Linked DNA regions of Saccharomyces cerevisiae S288C. The gene in region 3 interacts genetically with the main gene of each other region. Each region holds a gene or a part of one and is shown on either strand. Other genes may lie near its edges.

Region 1 (2,891 bases), on a different chromosome or scaffold from region 3:
CAGAGGCATGGCTACCATGCCATTGCTCTCGAACATCACTGAAGTAATTCTTCACTTTGTCCACAAAAGTCAAATCTTTCTGTAGTGGTGCGTTCTTGTTAGAGCAGTTCCATGAACACTGTTCTGGATGGAAAGATGGATAAGTATAGATGTAAATATTAGCGACGATAGTGAGGAAGGTGGCAAAATATGCAAACTTCTTGACCGCACACCTGAGCATCTTGGGATTCTTGGTACAATGCTGCTGCTGTTGTTTTCAGTTCTTCAATCGCGACCGGATAAATCGCTTGTAATAACTTAGTTTGCAATTTTTCTTAAAACTTCAGAAATCAAGTCACAATTGTAATGAATAATTTGGAAAACACAAGTCACCAAAAATAGCTCAATATTTGATAGTGACTAGGGGAGGAATCTAGCAAAAAAAACGTTCTTTATCTATATGAATATTTAGAAATTAAGATATGTAATTACTTTAAGATGTTCCGAGTAAGCAGAGGCGTTTCGCTCTATTTAAGCAACTGTTCCATTTTCATCTGCGCCAAATGATAAACAGTGTTGATTTCTCTTTCCAGGGCATTAATAAACAGAGTATAAATTTTAAATGCGTAGTATCTATTTGACATGACGAAATTGTAGAAATTCAACAGGTCCACAGTCAAAAACTGCTGCGAACCACGCATATAAATACCGATACATGTTACTACCAACGTCAAATACAGGAATCTTTTGACCAGAGTAATGAAGTTCATCAACAACTTGTAAAAGACATAAAATGTGAAGAAAATAAACAATAGTTGGAAAACTAACGGGTGTGATTGGCTGAACTTAGTAATAGTAGGAATCAACCATTGGATGACGTCAATGGCAGACTTTAGGCATTGTGTTACTACGGATAGTTCGTATTGCGGTTGAGTAGCGTCCATTTTTGGGTTGCTCACTTTGCCCTTTGGTGACTGTTACGAAATTTTTTTCAGTAGCTTTTTCTCTTCCAGTAATTATATTTTCTCTACAAAAAATATACTCACTACAAAAGCCAGCAAATAAATGATAATATTCGTACGACACTAGAGAATATGATATTGTATTAAGTAAATATATATATATAGAGAAGGAGAGAGAAAGACAAGAACAGGGCGGCTATTAAGCGTCGTCTTCGTCATTCATAGAGATAGCTGTCTGTGGCTTTTCTTCTTCTGCAACCTCAGGCTTTGCTTCCGGCTCTTCCGCAAATGAGTTGGATAGGAACTCTTTCATTAGGCCAGCCGAGGTTTCAAAATACTCAGCTTGAGCCTTGGCCAATTCCTTCAAATCTTCACTGAAGTTAGCGTGAGAAATAACCTCCTGCAAGCACACAGTAGCGTCTTCAGTGACTTGAGCAAACTGGTCTTCCAAAGTCTCCATTTGGACTCTCAAGGAAGCTTCCTTTTCTGGCTTCTTGTTGTTTGCCAAGTTAGTTCTTGCCACGTCATATCTTAATCTCATGGAATGGACATCCTTGCGGCACTTATCGGCCTTACCGATCTCAAAAGAGAGCCTTTCCCTCAAATTTTTATTGAATTTGGTTTGAATCAAGGTATCTTGTTGAATTCTAGCTTGAGCAATCTTAGCCTGCACATCACTGAATTGCAAGAGTGCCGAAGCCAAGGGTTGTTCCTCGGTGGGGAACATCTTGTTCAAACATTCACTGGAGTTCAAAGCCACTTTACTGAGGGCGTAGTTCAACGTCTTGGGTTCTTTGATGGGGCCTGGAGCAACTAAGATGTTTTGTGCCTCAGACGCAGATGTAGCATGAGTCAACTCTGTCAACTTGGAAGCCACGCTTCTTGAAAACTCGTTGACGGATTCGTTGATGTATTTAGGGTAATCGTACGATCCGTTTTCGTAGATAGCAGTTACACCCAAGAAGTGGTTGTAAATCAGTTTGATGGTGTCAACCTTATCTTCCAGCTCTGTGTACTCTCTTGGCAATTGGGAGATGTCCGTCACCTGGCCCAAACGTTCCTGGACCATTCTTTGGGTGGATTGCGCCAAACTGGGCAATTCCTGGGTTTTTTCGGAAACACTTGTGGATATTTCCTGTAATTTCTTGCTCAAAGAGCTGGCGAAGGCATTAAACGACATTGATGACTATGATTTGTTGCTTATTCCACTCCTCTGCCTACAAATCATATAGGTTATAGGTGAAGAAGGTTGCAATTTTCTTGTTTTTGACATCCCGATTAATCCACCGCTCGCTTCTCACGGTAATAAGGGAAAATGTCTGCCAGTATGAAGCAAACAACATTAAACTGAGAACATTGGTGAGTCAAGACCATAACTGGAAGACGTGGTATCAAGACGCCTTCACGGTAGTATGTGGAAGATTATGCGTTCATGGAAATGTGGGGGAATGCGCTGGGCACATCGCCAGCGACCCTCACACGAGCTGCTGTCGCAACTGTCGTTCGACCAGCATTACAAGATTAGGTCGAACATTGAGCTGCTGATACAGGACTACGCTAGTAAACCAATTGCGCCCCTAAACTACGAGTATTTCCTGCAATACAGGCCGCCGCTGACCAAGAAGGAGGAGTACATGCTGACGATCAAGACAATCAACCTGTTGCTTTCATTGACGTGTAAACGGCTTAATGCCATTCAGAGGCTACCGTATAATGCGGTAATCAACCCTCATATTGAGAGAACCAACTCTTTGTATTTGAAAAGCTTGCAAACGTTGCTATCAATCGCATACCCGTACGAGTTGCACAATCCTCCCAAGATACAGGCCAAGTTCACAGAACTGCTGGACGACCACGAGGACGCCATTGTGGTATTGGCAAAAGGTCTTCAGGAAATCCAATCGTGTTACCCAAAGTTTCAAATTTCGCAGTTCTTGAACTTCCACCTGA
Region 2 (3,239 bases), on a different chromosome or scaffold from region 3:
AATCTTCTGACACTATTGACAATGTCAAGTCCAAGATCCAAGACAAGGAAGGTATTCCACCTGACCAACAAAGATTGATCTTTGCTGGTAAGCAATTGGAAGATGGTAGAACTTTGTCCGACTACAACATCCAAAAGGAATCTACTCTACACTTGGTCTTGAGATTGAGAGGTGGTGGTAAGAAGAGAAAGAAGAAGGTCTACACCACCCCAAAGAAGATCAAGCACAAGCACAAGAAGGTCAAGTTGGCTGTCTTGTCCTACTACAAGGTCGATGCTGAAGGTAAGGTTACCAAATTGAGAAGAGAATGTAGCAACCCAACTTGTGGTGCTGGTGTTTTCTTGGCTAACCACAAGGACAGATTGTACTGTGGTAAGTGTCATTCCGTCTACAAGGTTAACGCTTAAGTAAAGTATTTTTAAAACTTATATATTTTAATTGATCGTTAAATTTTGAAAAAGGCTTTTAATATTGTCATTATTTACTTTTCTATTTACAACAAAAGAACAAATGAATAGATAGACAGTAGAGGAATATAAGTAGTATGCAGTGCCATGCGGGATCAAGGAATTTGTATCTCTAATTTTCGTGGTTGTATGCGTCTCTAAACAAGTCAATATTTTGCTGTAAGATGGTTCTGCCGCTCCTTTCAGTTCCTTTAAGAAGCGTACCTGCAGATATTTTAACATCCTCCATGGTTTCATTGACTTTACTGACAAGTTGATTGCTCAAGTCATCAACATGTTTTTCCCAATTTTCACTAAATACTTGCAAAACAGCATCGAATCCCATTTTACCCTTTTTAGCGTTCTCGCAAAACCTTTGAACTGACCAATCTTCCATCTTATTACACAGCTTTCTAATGGATCCATATGCTGTAATTTGGGCTTCCTGCTGGAAAAGTGTTTTATTAGCCGAGTCATCGGGATGCGGGCTATATGTTACAGTTTCGTAGACTTTTAATAGATTGCACATCGTTAAATTACAGCTTCTCATGGTCAAGCTCTTTTTATTTAAGTCTACCACAGAAACTTCTCTGACATGACTCATATTGGTCCCTCCTAGCATCATCATGATCCATTTGGGAACACCTTGTTTTACAGTAATCAACCGTTCAGTAACTAAGACCTTACCTTGATCCTTCAATTCTCTTCTTAAAACGTCCACTGCGATGACATGTGTAGATATTTCATTTGGGTATTTTTTCCAGTTAGCGGCGGTTACCTGGTCCCATGGATAGTTGAAATCGTAACTGTTTTGAAACAATTTCATTATCGTCTTTTAATTATTCTCGATTATTTTATCTTAGTCTGAAATCTATTCTTTCGTCCTATTGATGCTTAAATTCAAAAATATGTACATCACTTCGCATGATAATTTTATCGCCTATATATTCTTTACATTTTTCACATTCATTCCTTTTTACCGCTCTGACCAATCAACGTTGTGCCGATGCTCGCAAAAGATATTTTTGTCCGGGCAACGGCTTTTGCGACAGACGGTAATAATAGTAGGGCCCCTTGCCCCCTTCTCATCTTATTCTTCTCCTTTCTTCTTCATTCCATTGTTTTTTAGTGGTCCTAACTCAATACCCTTTCAAGATTATCGTTGCTCTCCATGGTGTCCATCACGGTCACATGGTGCAGTACTTCCTTCCTACTGCTCTCTGCGATGGAGCCATCGCACATAATCATCTCATTCAAGATATCGTAGACCTTACTGAAGTTAAATATAATGTCTAGCTCACAAACATTGCCGAAATATGTGTCCATTGTTTCGACAAACCGATGGATAATTTCCAAGGTCAGCAGTTCATTGTCAACATCGGGCGTCATCCCAACAATAAAATATAGACTAGCATATCGCTTGTATACTACTTTGTGGTCATTATACTCGATGATGTTACACATTTTGGGTTTTCTTGCTAATATCGTAGGTGTCAAGTCTTTCACAATTTTTGCCTTTTCACCAGCGGACATTGCCGTGTACCATTTCTTTAATCTGATTTTTCCTTGCCTAGAAACCAGCAACAAATATTTTAATTGCGTCATCTTGTGTACCTGTGTATCCGTATATAATCTCCTCCAGGATCGCTCTTGTTCTTGGCTGAAATTGTTGTTATAACTTCTTGTTCATTCATTGCCATTTTTACACATATCGTTAGGGCCCGATTCGTTTGGGATCGAATTGTTACCCGACTGAAAGGATCTATTCAATATACATTATAAAAAAGAAACTACACATGAGCGTGTGCATTACCTTTACTCGTCGCTGTCGTCTTCTGTGGGTGGGACCCATGCCGCAGGTTTGAAGTACTCTTGGTCATTTGCCACATCTTTCCCAAACTTTTCTTTGTCGTCGGCAAACTCTAGCAGGTATTCCAGCTCCAATTCATGACATTGTCTGCCGAGGATGACAAGCGAATGAAGTGGCTCTCCTGAATCGTAATTGGCTAACTCACTTATGGTACCAGACTTAAAGCTTTGGGAGCTCGAGCCTAATCTACTAATTGCGACTGCTGGAGTATCAGGAGTGTATGCCTTTGTACCTCTTTTCTCTTCAATTTCTAATAATTGTTCACAACATTGAGCGATAGACATGTATCTTGGTGGTTCGTAGATTAGTCTGCCACGGGCCATATTTTCAATGCTTTGTTCCTTAACTTTGATGTCCAATAACACTAAAGTATGAAGGCCAATTTTTCTATTTTCCCAGATCTTGTCGTACCATGAGTCTGGTCTCCAATTATCGGTAAAGAAAACCATGGAAACGGTTTGACCGAAATTGTATAGTTGTAGGCCACATGCCCCAACTGCATTCATAACGGACGCATTATGAATAATTTCGACGGGAATTGCCTCACGTTTAGCTCTGAGAACTAAATCTGTGTGTGTGGTGGCACCAAATGGATCGCCCACGACCAAGAAAGCAACGTCTTCCTTATCGGCGTTATTTAGGATCTGCTTAGAACCAGTCTCAACTAATTCCCTATCAGCCAAGATGATCTCTTTACCATAGTAAGATTCTAACTCTTCTTGGCTTGCAGCCATTAGGATACTGGTATAGTGTTCTAGATAAACTCTAGAACATTTCTTAATAGCTTCCAAACCACGAACGGTAATGTCTGATTTGTACGAGAGACCAAGTCCGATCAAATAAAGCATTTTTCTCACTGTCCTTTATTCACTCTATATCCTGTTCGTTTTTACTTTGCTAACAACCACCAGAAAAAAATTTCA
Region 3 (3,225 bases):
GTTGTCTAGTGAAAGAGAGAGGTTTAATCGCTGGTGGTGGTGCTCCAGAAATTGAAATATCCCGTAGGTTGAGTAAGGAAGCAAGGTCTATGGAAGGTGTACAGGCTTTTATTTGGCAAGAATTTGCCTCTGCTTTGGAAGTTATTCCAACGACTTTGGCTGAAAACGCAGGTTTGAATAGTATCAAAGTTGTCACAGAATTGCGCTCTAAGCATGAAAATGGTGAATTGAATGACGGTATCTCTGTTAGACGATCTGGTACTACGAACACCTATGAAGAACACATCTTACAACCCGTACTTGTTAGTACAAGTGCAATTACCTTAGCGTCTGAATGTGTTAAATCCATCTTACGTATTGATGATATTGCATTCAGCCGTTAACATGGGTTTCCCAGTATCCATATGTTTATGCATATATACATATATATGTTGATTTAGTGTATTTTCCACTACATAAAAACTAAAAAACATTCAAAATGAAAAGTCAGGACCCTTTTCAAAAAGGATCGCAATTATACTATTTTAAAAGTTTAAAAGCGTTTCTCTTTAATGCGTAGGATACTCCGCTCATTATTGTGGTCGTGGCGGTTACATACCCTAAATAGCTAAAGGCCTTTTGAAAGTCCTGTTTTCTATCTTCGAAATCCTCCTCGGTTTTTTCACAGCCCTCTTCTTTCTCATATAAAAGTAATAATACTCCAGATCCAAGATATACCATTTGGAAAAACGTGTTCCATTTTGATAGTTGGGAAGGTCTGACCTCAGCGCTGGGATAGCGAACAATATCCCAATAGGAATTCCATGCCACACGACCAGGATATTTCAACTTTAAAGTGCTATATCGTATAAACAAAGCACTTATGGCTAGTAGCACATCTCTACCCAGAATTATCGCCGCAATAGATACCGGTATAATCTGAGGGCCGGATGGTACAGATAATGCCAAAGTTGTTGTGATCATGAGTAGTTTATCTGCAAGTGGATCTAATATGGTTCCTGCAATGGTTTTCAGGCCGTATTTTCTTGCTATATACCCATCCATAAAATCAGTGATGCTGGAAAATGCAAACAAACCTAATGCTGGGGTCAAATTATTCGTTATAATGAAGAGTCCGATAAAGGGTGTACATCCTATTCGTGATAAAGTCAAAATGTTGGGAATATTGAGCAACTTGCTCTTTATATGAGGAGTTTTACTCGGATTGGTAGCATATTCCCTCCTAGTGAGATCTCTGAAAAGATTGTAATTTAATTGCGGGTTTACCTTAAAGCGTACAGTTAACCCTGATAACACATGATAGAATGGCCTTTTCGGTATAGTTCTCCGAAGTAATGCGGAGCATGAATAAATGGGCACCATTTGAATCATTGACTAAATTATTAGGGACCAAACTATGCTACCAGGCCTGCTTGTTTCTCAATTGCCTCCTTTCTATATTTTTTCAATTGTAAATATTGTATACTCCCGATTAAGAGGATGGCTTCATGAATCGAGCTTTTTCACACTCCAGTTTCGGAAATAGTCGCCGCACAATGATTCGAAGACATGACTGTGAAGTGTTGGTTGACATTTAATATGGTTTCATGTAAGAGATCCCAGAGCTACGGACTTGGCTTTTTCTTCCTGTAATTGTTTGCCAAACGTTGGGTAAACGCACATATAAGTATATTTTACTTTCCTTCTCCCTTCGTCAGTTTTTCTTTTGCTGTAATATATTGTTCTCAAAAGTTGTTTGGTATACAAAAGTGCAAGGTTTTTACTGGTTGTTACAGGTTCAGAGTTCCAATAAAGAAGATATTAGAACGATCTTATCAATATTATCCAATTTCAACTAATATGAATGTATTAGTCTATAATGGCCCAGGGACTACGCCAGGATCAGTTAAGCATGCTGTTGAAAGTTTACGTGACTTTTTGGAACCCTATTACGCCGTCAGTACTGTCAATGTTAAGGTATTACAGACAGAACCATGGATGTCAAAGACCTCCGCTGTAGTTTTTCCTGGTGGTGCCGATCTTCCTTACGTTCAAGCTTGTCAACCCATTATTTCTCGATTGAAACATTTTGTTAGCAAACAAGGTGGTGTCTTTATCGGATTTTGTGCAGGAGGTTACTTTGGCACCAGCCGTGTAGAATTTGCTCAAGGTGACCCTACAATGGAAGTATCAGGAAGCAGGGATTTGCGATTCTTTCCGGGAACAAGCAGAGGACCTGCGTACAATGGATTTCAGTATAACAGCGAGGCCGGTGCACGTGCAGTTAAATTGAATCTTCCAGATGGCTCACAGTTCTCAACTTATTTCAATGGAGGAGCCGTTTTTGTTGATGCAGATAAATTTGATAATGTCGAGATCTTGGCCACGTACGCAGAACACCCGGATGTGCCTTCTTCTGACTCAGGAAAAGGTCAAAGTGAAAACCCAGCTGCTGTAGTGCTATGTACGGTCGGAAGAGGAAAGGTTTTACTCACTGGACCACACCCTGAATTCAACGTCCGTTTTATGAGGAAATCCACAGATAAGCATTTTCTTGAAACCGTTGTGGAAAACCTGAAAGCACAGGAAATCATGAGGTTGAAATTTATGAGAACGGTTCTTACCAAAACTGGGTTGAATTGTAATAATGACTTCAATTATGTAAGAGCTCCAAATTTGACACCACTGTTTATGGCTAGTGCACCTAATAAGCGGAATTACTTGCAAGAAATGGAAAACAACTTAGCTCATCATGGAATGCATGCAAATAATGTTGAACTCTGCTCAGAATTAAACGCCGAAACTGACTCTTTCCAATTTTATAGAGGCTATAGAGCCTCTTACGATGCAGCAAGTTCGTCCTTGCTTCATAAAGAGCCAGATGAGGTTCCTAAGACCGTAATATTTCCTGGCGTAGATGAAGATATTCCACCATTTCAATATACGCCCAATTTTGACATGAAAGAATACTTCAAGTATCTGAATGTTCAAAACACCATAGGTTCTTTACTTCTATATGGTGAAGTTGTTACATCAACGAGTACCATATTGAATAATAATAAATCCTTATTAAGTTCGATCCCTGAAAGCACTTTACTTCACGTGGGTACTATTCAGGTTTCTGGGCGTGGGAGAGGTGGTAACACTTGGATTAATCCTAAAGGTGTTTGCGCATCAACGGCCGTCGTAACAATGCCGCTTCAATCGCCTGTGACTAATCGAAATATATCAGTTGTTTTTGTCCAG
Region 4 (2,587 bases), on a different chromosome or scaffold from region 3:
CCATAGCTGAATGAACTTTGACTACTCCTAAACAAAGTAGTAACAATTTTCATTTCGTTTCCGGTTTCTTAGATCGAATATTATTCTGAGGAAATTCCCTGATTACATATCAGGGAAAGGTTCGCGTTTTTAGAGAATTGCGTAATGCGATTTGAAAGTTTAAATTCCTAAGCGACTCTTCTTCATGATAAGACAGTTTATATTTTGTATACTTTCTCATTCCCATAATTTGTAGTGCCTACGGGGATGGACTTGTCTTGGTACCAACTGACGGTACGTTCTGATGCTGCCTTGCTTGTGCTCCAACATTTTTTTTTTAATTTCATTTTCGTGTACGGTGCGTATATCGAGATGGCATCTGAGTATATTTACTTTGGTACATATACTAATATTAACTAAATACAAGGATGGTGGTTGAAGATTCCTAACGTACAGGAAGCAACCAACTAGGAAAATATATGCACTGCTGCATGCTTTCGATAACACTTGTGACGTAATGATGGAGGCTTCCTTGACTACTGATTGCTGCTTGCACTATTATCTGCACCAGATGAATTTGTTGAATTCGGAGGAGGTTTCGCTGTTGAAGCGTCCCCTGCTTTCGCCTTCGCATTTTTTTCTCTCTGAGCCAGTTCCCATTTTAACCTTTCTGCTGCTCGATAAACTTTGCTCTGTAAGTAGAAGCTTCCACCTTTTTCTTTATCGTTAACCTCAAATAGATAGTTAAACCTGTTATTAATCTTGTCCATGTTTAAATCGCCCTTGGATTCTTCAATATTTAAAATTTTACAACTCTCATCCAACGTAATACCACCATATTCGCCTTTTCCTGTTCCCCTTCTAGATGCATTTGTAGCACCTTGTTTCACTGATTGTGAAGCCGCTTGTCTATACGCCTCGGCGAATGCTTTTCCAAAAACTTGAGTTCCTGTGATTATAACCTGTATGAAAGCCCTGTGAGCCATATTTTATATCCAACAAGTCTATGTTTTTCTTATGCTCAAGTCACGAAGCTGTTGCCAAATTTATAGTCAGCTGAAATATGTGAATCGGATGCAAATGAGTTATAAGTTGAAGCTTCAAAATTTGCTACGTGAAAAATGATAAACGATGATGAAGTAAATAAATATCGTAAAACGAAAAACTCTCTTTTAAAAAATTCATATGTAGGAATTTCATTTGATAAGAACCTCACTCTTCATATCAAATAAGTCATTAACCTGCCATGAAATGAATTATGGAAACAATGCAGCTTTTTGAAAGGAAAAGTGCGGTGGATTTTAACGTTAAGGATCCTCTCAACTAATGATTGATGCTTAATCGTGGCATCTATAAATAAAGCATGAATTGTTCTCTATAGTTACAAAGTGGTGATTTATTATAAAAGTGTTTTGATATTCACGCTTTCAACATTAAAGCTAAAAACAAAAGAAAAAAAATGAAGACCAATGCGAAAAAAAATACCAAGATTGAAGTTTTGGAAGAAAAATTATGATGATAAAATTAAGCTTTCAAAAAAGATTAAAATGAATACTATTAATTTTAAAATTTCGTTTATGGCTTACAGTTGTGCATTATTGTATTAAAGTAAGATTTATTAGATAGGGATTCCTTCGTATTCCTCATGAATTCTTCAGAAAAGTTTTTGATTTTAGTTATTGGACAATTATGGCCCAAGTACCCACATGCACAATCACAATTTGTTAAAATAGTCTTTATTGACCCCATCAACCAGAACTTGTCGGGATCCGGTAGGGAATCCAAATCTTTAGATGCATTTATTATCTCCCAAATAGGATTTCTCAAATCCCATTGCCATTCTACGCTTATCTCTTCTCCCTTACGAATATCTCTTATAGCCCTTAAAACAAATTTAACTCTACAATCATTATCTCCTCTTGGTTTTTCGTCAAGCGGTCTTACCGTTACTAGTTCCACATTGGGCTCACAACTCCGTCTTATGTATCTTGTTAATCCGCCTGTTTCTCGAGAGTCTATATATAAAGGCCAATGTGGATGAAAAAGTACTTTAGGTTTTGTCGTTCCCATCAAACGATAGTCATTATTTGGATCTGTCTGATAATTTTTTTGAAAATCAATTTTGCCCAAATATTCTTGAATTAGCTCACCTTTAACACAAGAATCTGCAGCGAAGACTCCAAAATCTCTTTCATTTGATGATTTTCTTACCTCGATGTCAGCTGACCTTGAGCTTTCCCAGTTAGAACAAACAACCCAATCGTCATCATAATGGTTATCAATAAACATCTTAACATATTTGTCCTTATACTCTGATATTGTTATTGCTTTGAATTCCGTGTCATTGGAAGAACTTACCTCATTCAGTAGTGGCTTCAGAAAGTGGCTTGATACTACCAGTTTTTCTTGCCTCAATTTTTTCCGTATACTATTGCTATTTTCAGTTGTTGGGGCGGTATAATGAAGTTGACGTTTCTTGGGCTGTTCCTCTATGTTATTCACAGACTGTTGATGCTGATTTGTGTTCGATGCTGAAGTTGTCACTATGGATGAAAATTGAAATAATCGCTCATCTCCCATTTTTCTAGGGAATATCATTGGTTTTACT

Evidence for each region.
Region 1: mutations in CRD1 (region 3) and APQ12 together harm fitness more than expected from each alone (negative genetic interaction), as found in Saccharomyces cerevisiae (2 studies listed by BioGRID).
Region 2: mutations in CRD1 (region 3) and UPS2 are lethal when combined (synthetic lethality), as found in Saccharomyces cerevisiae (4 studies listed by BioGRID, with this or other methods).
Region 4: mutations in CRD1 (region 3) and PAM16 together harm fitness more than expected from each alone (negative genetic interaction), as found in Saccharomyces cerevisiae (3 studies listed by BioGRID, with this or other methods).

Annotation. Positions count from the first base shown.
Region 1 is NC_001141.2:275,755-278,645, reverse strand, and holds APQ12 (Apq12p), read right to left. Parts: upstream 924-2,891; coding exon 507-923; downstream 1-506. Other genes in the region: TED1 (Ted1p), read right to left, coding at 1-220; GVP36 (Gvp36p), read right to left, coding at 1,141-2,121; protein kinase PKP1, read left to right, coding at 2,354-2,891. UniProt on the Saccharomyces cerevisiae protein: Involved in the regulation of lipid homeostasis in the endoplasmic reticulum, thereby impacting nuclear pore complex biogenesis and localization, and nucleocytoplasmic mRNA transport.
Region 2 is NC_001144.5:498,999-502,237, forward strand, and holds UPS2 (Ups2p), read right to left. Parts: upstream 1,273-3,239; coding exon 580-1,272; downstream 1-579. Other genes in the region: ubiquitin-40S ribosomal protein eS31 RPS31 fusion protein, read left to right, coding at 1-407; APS1 (Aps1p), read right to left, coding at 1,581-2,051; DPH5 (diphthine synthase), read right to left, coding at 2,262-3,164. UniProt on the Saccharomyces cerevisiae protein: Required for mitochondrial cristae morphogenesis and MGM1-processing. Controls the stability of mitochondrial phosphatidylethanolamine (PE). With UPS1, controls the level of cardiolipin in mitochondria.
Region 3 is NC_001136.10:201,200-204,424, forward strand, and holds CRD1 (cardiolipin synthase), read right to left. Parts: upstream 1,372-3,225; coding exon 520-1,371; downstream 1-519. Other genes in the region: chaperonin-containing T-complex subunit CCT4, read left to right, coding at 1-383; biotin--[acetyl-CoA-carboxylase] ligase BPL1, read left to right, coding at 1,840-3,225. UniProt on the Saccharomyces cerevisiae protein: Catalyzes the synthesis of cardiolipin (CL) (diphosphatidylglycerol) by specifically transferring a phosphatidyl group from CDP-diacylglycerol to phosphatidylglycerol (PG).
Region 4 is NC_001142.9:225,705-228,291, reverse strand, and holds PAM16 (import motor complex subunit PAM16), read right to left. Parts: upstream 966-2,587; coding exon 516-965; downstream 1-515. Other genes in the region: SET4 (Set4p), read right to left, coding at 1,555-2,587. UniProt on the Saccharomyces cerevisiae protein: Essential component of the PAM complex, a complex required for the translocation of transit peptide-containing proteins from the inner membrane into the mitochondrial matrix in an ATP-dependent manner.